Linked DNA regions of Drosophila melanogaster. The protein of the gene in region 3 purifies or fractionates together with the protein of the main gene of each other region. This does not show direct contact. Each region holds a gene or a part of one and is shown on either strand. Other genes may lie near its edges. The genes, in order: l(2)k09848, CG6937, RpL7-like and RpL24-like.

Region 1 (4,685 bases), on a different chromosome or scaffold from region 3:
ACTCCAACTTCGATTTAATGTCTCCGTTGCTGGGCAATTTTCTGGCTTTTCGGGTCGAGTAGCTGCAATGTTCATTTAAACATTAAATTTTAAATTGAACATCTGATGGAATTAAAATTTCAACTATGTTCCTAAACTCAAAATAATGAGCATTGTTGTTTAACATATTATGAATTCAGGAGCTCTGGCTTTATTTTCTTATACTTTTAAATTTTTAAAACAAAGCCGTTGTTTATCTAGAAACGAGTGGGAAATATTATTATTATAACGCATTTATAATAATCTATATTGCATTTTTCAGGAAAACATTTAATTCTAGTTTATGAGAAATATGAGTTTATAGGCAAACATATGTATATATGTCTTCAGATACTACACACATGATATTATGTGTATCTCATATTATGTGGCCAAAACGATTTTTACAGAAGCTTACTTAAGATGAATAATACCAAACTATTGATGGCTACAATATTAATTTTTCTCCGTTGCCGTACATCTATCTAGTGTAAATAAATATTTAAACATATGTAAGATACTCCTCTAGTAGGGATAAGATACTTATACTATAAGCCCATTAAAATGCCACTAAACCACGACTCCACATAACATAAATAAAAGAAAGGGTGAACCGCAAGAGTCGTCTCTTTAAATGAGGTTGCCTCCTACATTACTGTCCCCCAAAGCCAACATTTTTGAGAATTATGTTTTTAGAAATAGGAAATAAACAACACCTTATCTTAGACTGCAGAAGCTGCAATGTTTTTACAGACCCAACACTTCATTGAAAAAATGACAGGAAGGCCACGAATCCATTTTTATGCTGGGGGTAAAACACTATAATCGCAGTCGACGTTTGTTGCTTCCATCTTTACAATATAATTTATTTTAAGTACTTGCACGCACCTCATGTTCCCTTGCTCGACAGTCAGTTCAGAATGTAATATGCAACGAAACTTTTTTAAAACAGCTCTGTGTCTACCTACGATGCCATGTTTGTTAGTTCTTTAATATAAAAACCACCGAAATCTATACTATTTTTTCTTTAATATTCTTATACGTAAATACATGTCGCTTTAACTAATCACAACTTTTTTCTTTTTGTTTTTTAAAGACTTTTCCGACGATCTTCTTTTTAGATCGGCCTTTGAAAGCTTAATATTAGACATCTCTTCCTCGGACTCATTATCGCTGTCACTGTTGGCCAAAATATAAGATTTTAGCGTATTATTAAATCACTCAATATGTAGTTAAACTTACCCCACAGTGGGCATCTGATCAAACATATCCTCGTATTCATTGTCCACAGATGTTGCGTTGACGCTCTTATTTTCACTCACGTTTCTATCCATTTGAAGGTCAGCGACCTCCTCAGGTTCTTCTGTTACTCGTGCCTCGTTTTCAAACGGTCGGATAAGAATCTTAGTGGCCTTTGATTTCACGTAGCATTGGTAGAGCAGCACTGTGGTTTCGGAATCATGGATACGAACGTATCGGTCTAGGCTTGCAGAGCTCAGAAAGCGACCGGTGGCATCTAAATGAAGGTCACTTATCCCGCCTGTGAATCCCTTGTACGTATGCACATGAGTTTTCATGCGTCGAGTGTCAAAGGCTTTTAGAGCACCCATTGTGGTACCCGTGTAAATAAAGTTTCCCTTTGCCACTAAAGTCGTAAAACTCATCCCGTGCTCCTCGCTGGCAAAACATGCAACAGGTCGACGCTGCTTACGCGTGTCATAGATGCGAACATAGCCGGTTCGCGAGCAAGTGGCCAGTACACTAGGCCCATCCACAAAGCCGATATCGCTGTCCCAAACCGGAACCTCTAGCTGCAGATAGTCGTTGGGCAAATTCTTCGAGGTGAAAATCTGCTTACCGTCGGCATTTAAATCGTAGACCTTTAGATTGTTTTGACGCTCTTTGCCGCCAGTTGCTACAATGCTTTTGACTTGGGCGCACTGGCGCAGGTGGTCCATTTGGTCACCCGTGGCGATAACCACGGGCTCGGACTCGTCGTTCGCCTCTAGCTCCAGGCTCTGTATCTCTCCGTTGCCAATGCCGGCAATAAGCTTGTCATTGTATCGGGCCAGACCAACAATTGGCGCAGCATTGAAGGATACTGTGTTCCTAGAATGTCCCTTTTCTGTGAAGGAGTGAATCTCCACGGCGTCCTTGGCCCGGCCTAGAAGGATCTCCGTCTGATCGTCGTTGCCAAAGGCCAGAGATGTGACGCGGGAATCCTTATCCAGGGCGCACAGATCACTCAGGTTGCTTTGTCCATAAGGGGTCTTCTCGGATGCAGGCACCAGGTCTAAAAAGTTGAAGTCATTATTATTATGCTGTTCGATAAAGAACAAGCGGACGTACGTTTAAAGGAGCCCGTGTGTGTTCCCACATACAGTTCGTGCTTCGCCGTGTAGTTTACATGTTTGGTATTTGCAGTAGTCCACTTCATCTCAAGACGCGGTTTCTCTCAATACTTGCGATTAAAACGTGAATTAATGGTATGCGGCTATACAAATTCGTGCGGTCAAAACAAATCCTACACGTGCAATAGAGATGTAAAAGACATATGCTTAATAATCGATGTTATCGTTTATATCGATATCTAACGGCCACCGATATTTTAATAACATTTAGGGTAGTCACTAGGCTTCAGTTTGCTGTTTACCAGTTTAAAACATTTTTTTCGTTGAAAACCACTTCTCTTGTGAGAATATAGTGATACGCATAAGACTTTATTTGATTATAACTTCTTTAAGTGCAGTTTTGTTGTCATTTTAAATGCAAGCAAATAGTATGCAAGCCACAGTGAGAATATTCCCGTGAAATTTGTAAAATTTATAGAAAATTTTAGCCCAATCGGATTTGTTTCTTGTTTTTTCGTGCGGTGGACTTAATTCTTGTTTTGCAGTGATACAAGCATGTTTTTTTGCGGGTATAAAGACCACAACGTTTTGAGAATTATTTCCAACTAAACTTTTTTTTAGAAAATTAAAGAGATATTTGAAAACAACATTTTATATGTAAATTTTATAAATTAAGTTTCAAGTGCATGTCTATACCCTATTCAGTACTGGGCAGCACATGTGCTCAGCTGTTCGTGTGTGTTCACCAACACTGTCATGTGAATTTAAAAACAAATAGCGCACATACGTAACTTAAAGCAGAAATGGCTCTCACCAAAGTTTATGATGCCGCCACAGTGTTTAAGCACATGAATGGCATTCTAAATGTGTACAAGCCATCCGGTATGAAGGTGAAACACGTGCGCAATGCTATTCTGAGCAACATTTGCAAGGGTAAGCCTAGCGCCATTTAAAGAACAAATTGAAATTAAAAACAGATCTGCAAAAGGACTCAACGAAATGGAGCAGAGGAAACCACGCAAGTTGCAAGAGAACATTAGCCTCCTGGGCACAGGCACTGCAGCAGATCACGTACTACATAACATAGGAGAGCAGACGGATCTATCCGACCACCTTCTGTCCACCGGACCGCGGTACCTTCCGCGAGACTTGATCTGCACCACAGTGTCCAGCCTGGGCGATCACACCAGCGGAGTCCTGCGTAAGTCATGTAAAACATTTTAAATCCAGATCTAACCATACTTTTGTAGTCTTTGGGATCAACAGGGGAGCAGGCCAGTCTAGTTCTATTCGGAAAAATCGACCAGTGCGGGTCTACCATCTAATCGGGCACCTAGGCATCGCAACCGAAAATAACCTACCAGACTCACGGGTCATAATGCGCTCCAATCACCGACACGTGTCCGCAGACAGGATCAGCAGTCTAGCCGCCTCCATGCAGGCATCCCATCAGCGTAAGATGTTTGAGCTCTGCGGTGTCGATTTGCAGACCCAGGAGGCCTATGAACTGGCCTGTAGGGGTCTCCTACGCCCAGCGGACGACAGTCAGCCCGTCGTCTACGGCATTAAGCTGATTCACTTCGATCGACCGCACTTCACCCTGGAACTGCACGCCATCAACGAGACGCAGGAGTACTTAGCTACGCTAGTGCACGATATGGCTTTGGACCTCCGAACCGTGGCGCACTGCTCCCAACTACGCTGCGTGCGGCATGCCCATTTTGATGTGACAGATAGTCTGCTCAGACACGCCTGGCACTTGCCAGGAATTATCAAGAACCTCCGTCAACAACGTGACATCCTGAGGGCGCATCCACAGCTTCTGCGACAACAGCGAGTGGAACTGCGAGCTACAGATTAATTTAGGAATTCATTGTAATTGAATATAGTCAAATAAATATAGGCAGATAAACTATAAAGCAGTCAATCAGGTCAATAATTCTGGTAATAATTTTTGATAAGAATATGCAGAATATCTGCTTATTTAAGTCAGCATAGTTTATTGACGGTTACAGTTCAAAATAGGTCATTTATAAAAAAAAAACGTAAGACTCTAGTTTAGTAAAAGTAAGATGTTTAAAACGTGATCTTATTAGAAGCGGTAGCCAAAAACCATACATTTCACAAATTTTTTTTGAATTAATTCTAAAAACAAGGGAGATTGCTATAGTTGATAACCTCGACCCATCGAAGGGTCAGTTGTTCCAAATTATGTAAACTAATTTCTTCGGTGCTCAATATCATTAAGAAGTGATTTTTTTCAGGAAATGTGTCATATACCAAACCTTGTGAATTTCAATGGTCACGCAGTTGGTA
Region 2 (4,301 bases), on a different chromosome or scaffold from region 3:
ACTTATTTTATTGAACTATTTTATCCCTTAACCATTTCTGTGACACGCACTTATTTCCCCATTAATTATTATATAAAACTCCACTTTGTCATGGATTATCTAGGAATATACACTCAATGGTCACTCGTAATCCGCCGCATCGACTTTAAAAGCGCGTGCAATTGCGACTTTCAGATAAATCTCCGACTGGGTCTTACGACTCGCCGACGGTTGTCTATTAAAATTTTATAGCTCCGCAGTTGGTGGCACAAAGCACTTGACTCATGCGTCCACTTCCGTTTCTGACCGGACGCCTGGGGAAGGGGCTGGGAATCGGATTCGGGTTTGTTGTGACAACAGTTCGTAGGCAAAGACAACAAGCCGATCTGCGGGTGTCATAACCACTCATACCCGAGGTCCAGATGTTGCGCACAATTATCATATCAGCAGCACATCATTTGCGACTAAGTGAAAAAGCAGATTGGCCTGGCACACTCTGCGCCTTGTTTAAAAAGCAGCTCCGCCGAATCTGAGATTTCAGTAATAGTTTAGACCTAGAAGCAAAGACATCGGCAATGAAGAACTCCCACGCGAACGTCTACCAAGAATCCTATTGCTACGAGGATATTACGAAATCGTGGCTGAACCAAACGGAGGGCTATACGGACTGCAGCTATGTATATGACCACAGTGCGTCTTCTTCCTACGCGGATTACAATAAACTAGAAACTAATTGGTGCAACGAAGCGAACGATCAATGGTTACAAAATGAGGCACCTACTGGTCAAGAACTTCCAAGCCAAAGGTCCAAACTCCGGGCAATCAGCTCGAATCGCAAGGAACGCACAGCATTTTCAAAAACGCAGCTCAAGCAGCTGGAAGCGGAGTTCTGCTATTCCAACTATTTGACTCGCTTGCGTCGCTACGAAATCGCAGTGGCGCTGGAGCTGACCGAACGCCAGGTGAAGGTGTGGTTCCAAAATCGACGCATGAAGTGCAAGCGCATCAAACTGGAGGAGCAGCAAGGCAGCTCGGCCAAAACGCCATTTTAGTTTGTACAAGGACATATTTTAACACAATTCATCTTACAAAATGTTTTCGCTTACTTAACAACTATAGTAAATGTATTTTAAGCTACTACTTGGATTTCTTGGCCTTTCCCTTGGGCAAGGGTTTGGCCAGCGACTTGGCTGCGGCCAGCTGCAACTTCTGGGTGGCGGCATTCTTGTTGCTCTTAGCCGGCGGAGCTATTTTCTTCTTCTGCACACCACCAGTGCCGGGCTTGCGTTTCAGTTTATCAGCCAGCTTAGTCTTTTTCTGCTTGGGCGGCGGTGATAAATCCTCCTCTTCGTCGCTGTCATCGCTGGTCTGCTCACTGTCCGCTTGCTCCTCCTCAGCCTCCAGATCGGACTCATCATCGGATGCATCAACGTAGTCCTCATCATCGGAGTCCTCGTTGATGGTGTTGCCCAGCAAATCCTCCAGCGTTGGTTCTTTCTTCGCGGCCGTTTTTTGTTTCTTACCGGCTTTCTTGGCGGCTGCCTGGCTTGTAGATGCCTCAGCGGAGCCTGCTGCTTTCTTTACTGGTTCCACCAGTAAGTTGGAGAAGTCGATGCCCAGATCCTTGTACTTCTCCTGCAGCTTCTTGATCTTGTTGAGATTGGCCACGGTGCGCTTCTGGCAGGCGGACTCATCCCAGTTATTCTGCTTTTTCACGCTGCGCTGTGTGGCTTTGGTTAAATCCGAGACATAGATTTCCTTGCCGGCCTGCAAGTGAAGTACAACTATGAATAACAAACGGACATTAGATGTATTTCCCTTTGAACGCACCTTATTGACAACCTTCTTCAAGGAAGTCCTGAAGAAGTTGAGTGTCTGCTTCTCTGGTGGAATGTAGGTGGCCTTCACCACCTTCTGGAACATCAGGTAGTTGTCCATGGTGTCGGCAGCCACCTTGGCCACCTCCGGGTACTCGAACTCCACGAAGGCGTAGCCCTTGCTGTTACCGGTGCGCAGCGAACGGGCCAAACGGACGCGCAGCACCCGACCGAACTGTCGGAAGTACTGGCGCAGCTGCTGCTCGAAGAATCCGTGAGGCAGGTGCTTCACAATGACCACGCCGCGTTCTGGACCCTTTGGCTTCTGCGGCCTGGCCTTGGTCACCTTTTTCTTTAGCTAAAATGGACGCAGTTTACGGTTATCCAACCCAACGGAGGAGCATTTGTTTTTGGTAGCCGCTCACCTGTCCGGAAACCACATTCTTGGCTGCATCGATGGGCTTTTTGGGCGTGCTTTGCTTCTCGATCTTCTGCGCCTTGGGCTTCTTAACAGGCGGCATTTTAATTAGTGTCAATTCACTAAAATTGATTATTAAAGTAGTAAATGAATAAAAATCGCCGCACGTGGAGCAACAATAATGGTATGACCGTTTACGTTCATGCGATACAGCGCTTAACTAGGCGTTAGGCTATTTGACCCACCCCTTGGTGCCTGGTCACTCTTTCAGTTTATTATTTCTATTTATTTGCTTTGCGCATTTTTTACCGCCAATACAAAATGAATCTATCTGATTCATCGTTGAATAATTCCCTCGTGGAAGTGGATGAAATGCGCCTAGGCTATGACCACGAATCCATCATGTCCTTTCTCCGGAAGTCGTCCATCAAGCATTTGTTTCCTTACGCTGCAGAAACCACAGACGGCAAACAGGTTATTATTCTGTTTATTTCCTAATAACTATTACTAATTTGTTTATATTAACTTAGTTGCTGAATCGCATGATGGCTACCTTAGCCGGGAAGCTGGAACTCAATTTGCAGCAGCTGCTCGATCTGTTTACCCTCTCCATTATGATGATGACGTACCAAAGGGACAACGTTCTGCTGATGAAGGAGCGCTACATGATGGTGGATGTGGTGTGTCACCTGGCAGAGTCCCTGGACTCGGAGGAGGTAGTTCCCCTTTCTGCTATCCTAACATTTCCGATCAATTACATCTTATTCCCTTTAGATGTTCTACATGGCCAGTGGGTTGTACGAAAACCTTATCACTGGCGTGGGTATGGAGCGCCTGGAAAGAGTGCTGGACCTGCAGGCCGCGATTCCCGCCATGGTAGAATCCTGCCATCTTGGCAACGATGTAGCTATGGCCCTGCTACTCACCATAATGGGACGGTACACGGGAGAACCAGTTGAACTGGACCAGAAGGAATATGTATGAACCTAAAACTGATTCCATCAGCACTTTAAAATCTAAACCCATATATATGCAGGCTCTCAAGGCTTTTGAAATGGCCAAAACGGTCAACTGGCGCCAGTTGGCAAACAGTGGACGCCAGGCAGATTTGTTTATGCTCATCCGCACTTTCAGCATGATCATCAATTGCAGACGTATACGCGAGGAGTGTCCTGATTGGAAGGACAATCTGGGTGCCGAGATACACAAGTACTTCCTGCAGGTGCGCATGGATCACTCCGCCGCCTATGGCGACTTTGAAATGATGGTGAGTGCCTATGCATTTATAATAAGGGAATCGGTAAAGATAAAGATTGCTTTGCAGATTGAACGATTCATAGCTTATTGCGTGGTTCGGGGCGCCTCAACAACGTAAGTTGAAATGGCGTAATATTGTTGTAAGTACGTAAGTACGTTAATTAAATGATATTTTTCATCCACAGACCCCAACTTTGCAGCTTCAAGATTTCCGAGCAAACAAATTCAGAGTTCCAATAATTGCTGGAGTGTAGTTATGTTAAGTAGTTTACTTATTATTACAGTCTAAGAGTAACATAGGTATCATACAGCTGAGATCAAAAAAGCAAACCAAATATATCATTTCTTAAGTAGTGGACCAAAGTTTTTAGTGTTTATTTCCCAATTAAATGAAATGGCCTTCAAATTCAAAATACGCGCCATTGCTGCACAGGCTTTTTTAGCCCATTGTCGCAATGTGAGTATTTCTTGGCGCTCTGGCGGCGGTCACACAACGCGCGACGGCACGTGTTGACTGCATTTAAAAAGCGATTTTAATAACATTTGGCAGGAGTTGCAGTGGCCGAGCAGTCGCACCAGTCGCCCAGCATGTTCTACCTAATCGGCCTCGGCCTTGGCGACCTGAAGGACATCACGGTCAAGGGTCTGGAGATAGTGAAGCAATGCAGTCGCGTCTATCTGGAGATGTACACCTCGATTCTGGGCTGCAGCCTTGAGGATATGGTAGGTATCTGGAATGGCCTTCGTTCTGGGAGCACCCCCAATGCTAATTGCATCTCCACTTTGTTCGCAGCAAGAGTTCTATGGACGACCACTGCTGCTAGCCGACC
Region 3 (4,779 bases):
TACGCACAGAGCTCGCAGTCCACGTTCCTGAAGATTGCCTCTGTTGGCCACCAGTTGCTGGCCTACCTAGACAACCTGGTAAGTGCTGCAAGCGCATATATCATTCGCAGTACTGATCCATTTCTCACGCCGCTTACGCAGAAGGAACCGATGACGGAGAACAACATTCAGATCGCGGCCACCAAGCCCGACGAGATCGATGTGGCTGCCCTGGACAGGCTGTTGTCGCATGCCTACAAATACCTTTGCCGGCGCGAGTCCAAGCAGCTGCCCATCATTGGCCAGATGTACAACGCCGTGCGTATCCTGCAGAATTAGGAGTGAGGATGACACATAAACACTTGGTTATTTTACATTTCTCTCATGATTTTTATGGATTCAAGAATGAACCCAATATTGATTGTTAAAGCACCACATGCGGTCCCATTAATTGTCTTATACTTATCAACCTAGTAGCGATTTAAACAACCTACGAAAAGCATCATATTAATTACTTTCAAGAAAAAGGATACTAAGATCTGCACCGATAGGAGGATGTATTCAACACGAATTTGATGTGAAGCTTATGCCTACAAGGATTATGAACATGTATATTTAATAAAATAAAAAAAAAAATTTTAATATTCTTTTACTAAATTTAAGGGATACCAAAAGATAAAATAACAATACTTTCTTTATTGATGCCCAACGTAATTTAATTTATATTTGAGCAGGGATCCAAGCGGGTCTTTGAACTTCGTGCCTTGGGCGCTGCCTCCAAGTTCTCCGCCTGTATTCGTCCGATTGCCTCCGGCGTGGGCAATCTCTCCGGCATCATGGTGGCGTGCACTTTGAGATGAGTGTAGACGGCAATGTAGCTCTGGCTGGTGTCCAGTTCGATGGGTGGACTCTGCTCTATGCGGCCAGGCAGGGCAAAGTGCTTGCCAAGAATGGGTTCCTTGAGAGATCGGGCCAGAATTTTTTGCAGTCCATCGCGGTCGGTGTCCAACTGCTCGCTGTTGAAACTTGAATTCATTGAGAATTAATTGAATCTAAGGATTTTGAATTCCAATGTGTAGTCCCTGGAGTTTTATCCGAACAAAAGATACGACGACCCGAGTTGCACTAGGTTAGTGGCACTGACTCCGACTAATCGAAAAACAACAGTTCCTCCTTCATGGCAACAAGTAGTTCAGTTTGGCATACCTTTCGTTTGCGAGGAGCCACCTCGGTTATGACTTATTTATTATTCGAGGCAGAAAGTTGATTCTCTGGTTTGTTCAATTTGGGAACTCGGCTGGGACACGCAAGGCCAAGAAGCAAAGAACTTGTTTCGTGGGTGAAGTTTATCATGTTGATAAACATGTAGAATAATGAGGAATGTCGTTAGAGACAGTTTCATGTGGTTCCTTAATAGTCGCAGGATTGCTTTTATAGGCATACAGTAAACTCACGATAGTGCTGACCTGACCATCTATTTTCTTCGTTAAATAAGTACGCTCAAATAGAATACGTTTGTATATAGATGTGTATTGGGCTTAGCTACAGAATGGGTTATAGAGGTTGAACAATCACTTAAGGGTTTACTAGGCTAGGGTCTCTACAGGCAGCGGGCAATCAGTTCGTTGATGGCAGTGCCACGATCGCCGTACTCGCCACCGCGTTTGTACGAGACGGATACCTTCTTTTGCCAACCATTGCTGGGACTGGACAACTGGAAAAAACCAAATGGCGGTAATAGTATAGTTTTAAGAATTGCAAAAGAGAAGTTGTTAACCAACCGTGAAGGCGCACAGAAACTCATTTACAGCGGCGAAGTTTGGACCCACTGTGCAAATTTCGTGGATTATATCCTCCAGACAGATGACACCCTTGTCGCCCAGCTGTTGCTCCACCATGGTGTTCGACTGGATGGCCGTCTTCTTGCCGTCGATGCGGGCGAAGCCCTTCTTGAAGACCAGCTCGCGAATGGAGCTCAGCGAGGGATTGCCGTAGACTACAAAGGGTTCGATAACGCGCAGCAGCAACTGGTTCTCCTTGGTGTTCTCCATGAAGACGGCGTTGTGGCGCGAGCCCATGCGCAGGGTTCGGAATATATCCGCGGTGGTCTTGTCGAAGATCTTCTTGCCCGCATGGCGCATCACGAAGAGCAGTTTGGGATTGGAATCGTCGGCAGCTTTGGCACTTTGTTCGGTGACATTGGTGCGCAGAATGGTTTGCTTGATCCGCTTGGACGTGCGCTCTGCTTTCAGGTAGCCCATTACGAAGGATTCGGCACGGCGGAATTTGTGGTGATTCTTGGTGGCGGTTCTCTTTTTGATGCGGTCATTTCTTTTCTGCGTAACAACAGATTCATCCTGCAGAATTCTCCTCTTGCGATGCTTTAGCACCGACACTGTTTTGCCGGGCAATTTGTTGGGCACCGCATATCTAGGGATCAAAAGTATAAGATAATGTTTAGGGTCAACACATTTTTATAGTTTTTCAATCACTCACTTGTCTGACATTGCTGGTATTTGGCTTTTTAATCGAAGTAAATTAAAACACGTGCAAGCACCAAAACAATAACTAAAAAGGATAGAGGTGGGCGCGGAGCGATAAGTGCTTTGCTATCGATAAGTGATGTGTGCAACAGCTGAGCGCGTTTCGTGGTGAATAGCTAACAAATTTGAAATTTTTGGCGGGAACATTTAAGAAATTGTATTATTCAACTGAAAACTATGCTTAATAGTTATGCCATAAGATAAATTTAGCATTAGCTAGCATTCAAGAGGACAGCTTTAATGTTTTCTTCTTGTAAGTAACCATTTGACATTAATTTCCGGTTTTGAGCACTCATTTCTCATTTTTTTTCTTTACACTCATTCTCTCTCTCTCTCTGTTTCTCTCTCCGTTTGCTGCTCTCACTCTCTCACTGCGTTTTAGGGTGAAAATTGCGTTAATTTTAGTATGAAAATGCCGGTCTCGATGCCAACGCACAGTCGCTGTTCGCAGTCAAAGCCGTTTTGTTGTGTCCGCGCTCTCGAGGTAAAATAAATCGTGTTTTACGTGCAAAGTCGCTGGGAACAAGATAAACCGAAATTAATCAGCCAAACTGCATTCCAAACCTTGCGAATAACCAACAAAAAAAAAAAGAAGCGAATAAAAGCAATCGAGCAATTGCCAGAAAAACTGCAACTCTGCAACTGCAAAATTCATTGCCACGCGTCGTAAGGTGATGACGAAATCGTGGAAATTGGCACGCGGCAAAGGCGTCACCATAAAAGTGGAGCTCCCCATTAGGCAGCTACACACCACAACATGCCAACCCCAAAAATCACCCTACTTTAAAGCTAAATTTCGTGTATCGAAGATAGTGGCGTCGGGGAAACATTCAAGTTTATGCCTGACAATGGGAGATTAGTTAGCTGCCAGCGAGGCAAAAATCGGGTCTTCTTCACTAGCAATTAGTAACTAAAATCAGCACTATAGCATTTGTTTACAATTTGCGCAACACGTGCTCGCGCCCCATTTGCTGATAGTAATGAAGGCTTTTTTTTCTACATTTCAACTTTTACCCTTCATTCCAGTGACAATGTGCGCTATTCGCCATTAGAAGAGGGTAAGCAGAAGAATCCCACAGTGCAGACATCATGACGGACCGATATGCCAATGGAGTGACCACCAGCCTGGTCGAGCCCACAAATGGATGCGCCGCGCCGGGTAATCCAAATCCCGCTGATGGCGAGGAGAAGATTGTCCTCAAGCGGAAGCTAACACTCATCAATGGAGTGGCCATCATAGTGGGCACCATCATTGGATCGGGCATCTTCATTGCTCCCACGGGAGTCTTTATTTACACCGAGTGAGTGGTGATACAGAGCATCCTCCTTAATTCAATTTATGCACAAAAAAGGTCAATTTAGCTGTTAATTAATGGATAGATTGTCGCAGGCATTCCTTTAGCACCAATTAAGATACATTTATTAGTTCTCGATTTTCCCTCAAAGATTCAACCTTGAAATTCTGCCCACATATTGCGTCAGCTTTTTAAAGTGTTTTTTTTTTTTAAGCGAATTGTCTCCAGTCACAAGAATAACGTCAATAAGGCGCGCCAAACATTTAAATTATTGATAAGAGCCACAAAAAAAGGTGTGCGTCATAAGCTTAAGGCGGCTGCGAAAAATTCCAGGAAGTTAAATTCATAAAAGTATTTTATCGAAATGAAAGCTAATCCCCAGCACTTGTTTTTTTTAGATGTTTTGTTTAAATACCATTTTACTATTATTGCTTACAAATATTTGCCACCGAGTTAATATTAGATCTATATTTATAATTTTTATTGCTTTATATATATATATATGTATGTATTCCCTGACCATATTTGTTTACGAGTGTTTATTTTCATTCAAATTGTTTATTGATTCGATGACTACTTTAAATCATTTCAGATCCGTGGGAAGCTCCCTTTTGATTTGGCTGACTTGCGGCATTTTATCGACGATCGGAGCTCTGTGCTACGCGGAACTGGGCACATGCATCACAAGATCTGGCGGGGATTACGCCTACCTGCTGGTGTCCTTTGGACCGCTGGTGGGATTCCTTCGCCTCTGGATCGCACTGCTCATCATCCGGCCAACCACGCAGGTCAGTTCCTATAGTACTCATCAATTGAATTACGGAATGTTTACTTATTTGGCTTGATTGATCGATGGGTTGTTGATGCAAATAAATAGAAATTTATTAATGGGCGGCTACCTTCGACCGGAATTGAATTCAATTACGAGTAGGACAGCTTTCTCCGCTAGAAACAAATGGCAT
Region 4 (3,724 bases), on a different chromosome or scaffold from region 3:
TTATTACCCAGAAAATGCGCGATATTTTTGAATTCTTGGGGCGACGGTCAACACTGCTCGTGTCAAGTTTACCAGCACTGACAAAGATCTAAATAAGTGGTAAATAAATAGAATAATTAAGAAATGCGTGCGGTTATACAAAGGGTTAAGGCTGCCAAAGTGACGGGTATGCAGGATCAAATAGTTACCATCTATCATATAATTTTATACTGCTCCCCTAGTGTTGGATGAGCTGGTGTCCTCCATTGGACCAGGCCTGTGCGTGCTGGTGGGAATCAAGGCCAGCGACACCGCCAAGGATGTTGAGTATCTGTAGGTAAATTCCACTCTGGTGATAACCACCTTAGGTTTAGACCACCTAACACAGCTTACCATTCAAGTGTCCGGAAAATCTTGGCTCTCCGTTTATTCGAGGAGGAGGGCAAGCGTTGGCAAAAGTCCGTGAAGGATCTGAACCTAGAACTGCTGTGCGTCTCGCAGTTTACACTGTATCACCGCCTTAAGGGCAACAAACCGGATTTTTTGGCTGCCATGAAGGGCGAGGAGGCGCAGGAGTTGTACAATCAATTTTTGGATCGCCTAGGTCAATCCTACGATAGCACCAAGATTAAAGGTGAGTGATAGGAACACTCCAGCTGGTCATGTTTTAATCTCACTTACTATAATAGATGGCAAATTTGGAGCATACATGCAAGTGCACATAGAAAACGATGGACCCGTAACCATTAATTTGGAGTCCCCCGAACAAAAGGATACTGACAGAGAAGTGGACAAATGATTTGAAAATATATAACAACCAAAGACAACATTTATGTACCACGGGGTTTTTATATAATGTATTTTTTAGCAGCAACTTAAACTAAGAAAAAATCAGCGTACTCGTCCTTAGGCTTCTAACATCTCGAGATCCTCGACCCCCATTCCCTCCTCCAGTTTCTTCTCGAGTTCGCGTGCATCCACGTAGGTGATCTTCTCCTCGGGCAGATCCTCCTCCATGAGGGCGGCCTCCTCTGCCGCCTCCTGGGCACGTCGTTGCTTCAGCCCTGCGGCTGGGGAGCGAATCAGGGACATGTTGCGCTGCACATCCTTGACGTCCATCTGAATCTCGACCTGGCGACCCTTGCGCAGTCGCTCCATGACAAAGTGGCTGGTGCGTTTCTCCTTAATCTCCGTCACCCGCTTGATGGCCTCCAGACCCTTCTGCCAGGTCTCGCGGCTGTATTTCATGGGCACGTTGCGGCGCTTCTCGAACTCGAAACTGGGATCGATGGCCAGCTCCTTGCCGGCGGCCTTGCGGTACGCCTTCGTCCATCCTACCTTGCGGGGATTCTTCTTGCGCTTAAAGGCCTTGTGACACTTGCCTCGGCAGAACTTGAAGACCTGCGACGGAATATGGCGAAGCAATATAAACATCGGAGCACATGTAAACAGGAAAGCAAATCGTTCTTACCTTGCAGTCATTTCGCACGAATTGCACCCCGTGGCCCGGGTATATTTTGCTAGAGCAAAAATAGCACGTTTGAATGCGCATTTTCGCAATTTACGACGGATAAATTACGAAAACAAAACAAATGCGCAAGCTGCTAGCACGTGTGCTGCTGAAGAAGAAGAAATATGAAAATGTATCGGCAGTCAGCAGTGCGACCAGTCACTGCTTATCGATAACACTGGCTAACATGGAAAATAGCTAGATGTAGACAAAAAATATCCAAGCAAGAAATACGTATAAATTGCAAGTGACTGCGATACCAGTTGACAGTTGTATTGTTTTGATAATTTCAATTACCTTCGGTCTTTGTCCAAATCATGTTTTTCCCAGTATGTTTACATTAACTTAAACTGAATTGTTGCACCTGTTTCTCGATAACATCGCATGCGCTCGCCAGTTTGCACCAGCTGTTGCGCCAGCTGATCGCCCGCTCATGCGCTGGTCACACCGCCAGCATCCAAACAAACAGAGCAGCAGACCAAGAAAATCGGACACATCACCGCGAACGAGATCTTGCTGACGTGCGACCAGATGCAGAGCCCTGCCTTCGCGTACCGGGAACACGCAGAACACTCGCCGCGCGCCATGTACATGCGCGACTGGCGATCGGCCCTGCGGACGCCCACGTACCGGATTGGGAATCGGACGGTGCGCTTTAACTATCACTTCGCCCTTCTGATTGTTTGCGCCTTCGTACTCGTCCTACTCTTCTACTTTGCGCGCCAGGGATCGCACTCCTCCTCCGACGGCTACTGGCTGCGCCGCAGTTACACGGATGCCCGGAGTCTGGACAATGGTGGTCCAGTGGTCCAGGCCTACAATGCCACATATCCGCTCACGTCACCCATGGTGCTGCGTGGCGGTGTGATAAACTACCGGATAGCCATGATTGCCGATCTGGACACCAGTTCCAAGGTGAGCAAGGGCGATGGGAGCAGCACGTGGCGTAGCTACCTGAAGAAGGGCTACCTTACCTACACGGTGGCCAGGTCAGAGATCCAGATTAGCTGGGATGACGGGGCGCCGATAGTCCTGGAATCAGCATTTGCCCTTAAGGGCCGCGGAATGGAGCTATCTGAGCTAGTCACCTTCAACGGGCGCCTGCTCACCTTCGACGACCGAACGGGTTTGATATACGAGATTGTGAATGACAAGCCCATTCCCTGGGTGATCCTGCTCGATGGAGACGGACACAGTGCCAAGGGCTTCAAGGCCGAATGGGCCACAGTGAAAGAGCAAACGCTGTATGTGGGCTCCATGGGCAAGGAGTGGACGACAAGTGCGGGTGATTTCGAGAACAATAACCCCATGTACGTAAAGGCCATCACTCCGTCCGGCGAGGTGAGGTCGCTCAACTGGGTGGACAATTTCAAGCAGTTGCGCCTGCAGTCGATGCAAATAACCTGGCCGGGCTACATGATCCACGAGAGTGGAACCTGGTCAGAGGAAAGGAATCGCTGGTTTTTCCTGCCTAGGCGGTGTTCGAAAGAGAAGTGAGTAAGCGTGTCAGCCTTTAAATCCTTAACTCATCGATCTATCTTTGAAAGATACAACGAAACCAAGGACGAGCACATGGGCTGCAATGTCCTGGTCTCCGCCGACGAAAGCTTCACCAACGTTGAGACTGTACGGCTCGATCCTGAAAATACAACGCCCACGCATGGTTTCTCTAGCTTTAAGTTCTTGCCCGGCACCGATGACTCAATAATCGTGGCTCTTAAGTCGGAGGAGTTGAATGGCAAGACGGCCACCTTCATCACAGCCTTCGATATTGCGGGCAAGACACTGCTGCCCGAAACGAGGATCGAGACGGACTACAAGTATGAGGGATTCGAGTTCATTTAGCTCGCCATTCCAAGCTACCGCACTCCACTCTACTTCGATCCAGGTGCTTCAGTTTTAAACGTGTACATATTGTATTATTGTCCCATACGGTAAGCTTTATATTTATAGTCACCTAGATTAGTCCAGAGATGCTCATCTGCCTCATGAACCGTGACTCCTTGTCCCGTCTTGTACCATAGCACAAAAAAAAATTTTAGTTTATTTTTATTAAAATTGAAATATAAAACGTACAAAGCCGGTGGCAAACTCAGAAAAGCCCTGCATCACGTTTCTTTAATCTTCGCATCCAATCCGGCCACCATAAGATCGGCTTTATCGATGCGACCCTCGCTGGCGCGAACTTCCAGTCGATCGGCATTGTGGTTGACATTCCAGAGTTCGGGCAAAAAG

What was found.
Region 1: the proteins of RpL7-like (region 3) and l(2)k09848 purify together in Drosophila melanogaster (affinity purification with mass spectrometry, with the first as the bait; one large-scale study listed by BioGRID). This does not show direct contact.
Region 2: the proteins of RpL7-like (region 3) and CG6937 purify together in Drosophila melanogaster (affinity purification with mass spectrometry, with the first as the bait; one large-scale study listed by BioGRID). This does not show direct contact.
Region 4: the proteins of RpL7-like (region 3) and RpL24-like purify together in Drosophila melanogaster (affinity purification with mass spectrometry, with the first as the bait; one large-scale study listed by BioGRID). This does not show direct contact.

Annotation. Positions count from the first base shown.
Region 1 is NT_033778.4:6,073,804-6,078,488, forward strand, and holds l(2)k09848 (lethal (2) k09848), read right to left. Parts: upstream 2,565-4,685; 5' UTR 2,456-2,564; coding exon 2,368-2,455; intron 2,312-2,367; coding exon 1,261-2,311; intron 1,198-1,260; coding exon 1,077-1,197; 3' UTR 668-1,076; downstream 1-667. Other genes in the region: CG7849 (uncharacterized protein), read left to right, coding at 3,173-3,302, 3,358-3,570, 3,620-4,230.
Region 2 is NT_033777.3:22,582,879-22,587,179, reverse strand, and holds CG6937 (uncharacterized protein), read right to left. Parts: upstream 2,408-4,301; 5' UTR 2,318-2,407; coding exon 2,222-2,317; intron 2,155-2,221; coding exon 1,810-2,154; intron 1,747-1,809; coding exon 1,117-1,746; 3' UTR 1,032-1,116; downstream 1-1,031. Other genes in the region: btn (buttonless), read left to right, coding at 555-1,031; CG33107 (uncharacterized protein), read left to right, coding at 2,536-2,688, 2,745-2,930, 2,989-3,192, 3,251-3,481, 3,539-3,585, 3,657-3,711; Dph5 (diphthamide methyltransferase), read left to right, coding at 4,060-4,194, 4,265-4,301.
Region 3 is NT_033779.5:12,054,129-12,058,907, reverse strand, and holds RpL7-like (ribosomal protein L7-like), read right to left. Parts: upstream 2,561-4,779; 5' UTR 2,487-2,560; coding exon 2,476-2,486; intron 2,410-2,475; coding exon 1,761-2,409; intron 1,694-1,760; coding exon 1,580-1,693; 3' UTR 1,016-1,579; coding exon of another isoform or gene 695-1,015; 3' UTR 657-694; downstream 1-656. Other genes in the region: Rab3-GAP (Rab3 GTPase activating protein), read left to right, coding at 1-78, 142-318; CG34164 (uncharacterized protein), read right to left, coding at 695-1,015; JhI-21 (juvenile hormone Inducible-21), read left to right, coding at 3,612-3,823, 4,410-4,605.
Region 4 is NT_033777.3:11,429,959-11,433,682, forward strand, and holds RpL24-like (ribosomal protein L24-like), read right to left. Parts: upstream 1,625-3,724; 5' UTR 1,532-1,624; coding exon 1,451-1,531; intron 1,381-1,450; coding exon 886-1,380; 3' UTR 782-885; downstream 1-781. Other genes in the region: Dtd (D-aminoacyl-tRNA deacylase), read left to right, coding at 124-166, 222-312, 381-613, 669-778; CG5276 (uncharacterized protein), read left to right, coding at 2,021-2,982, 3,037-3,334; Exd2 (exonuclease 3'-5' domain-containing 2), read right to left, coding at 3,598-3,724. UniProt on the Drosophila melanogaster protein: Involved in the biogenesis of the 60S ribosomal subunit. Ensures the docking of NOG1 to pre-60S particles.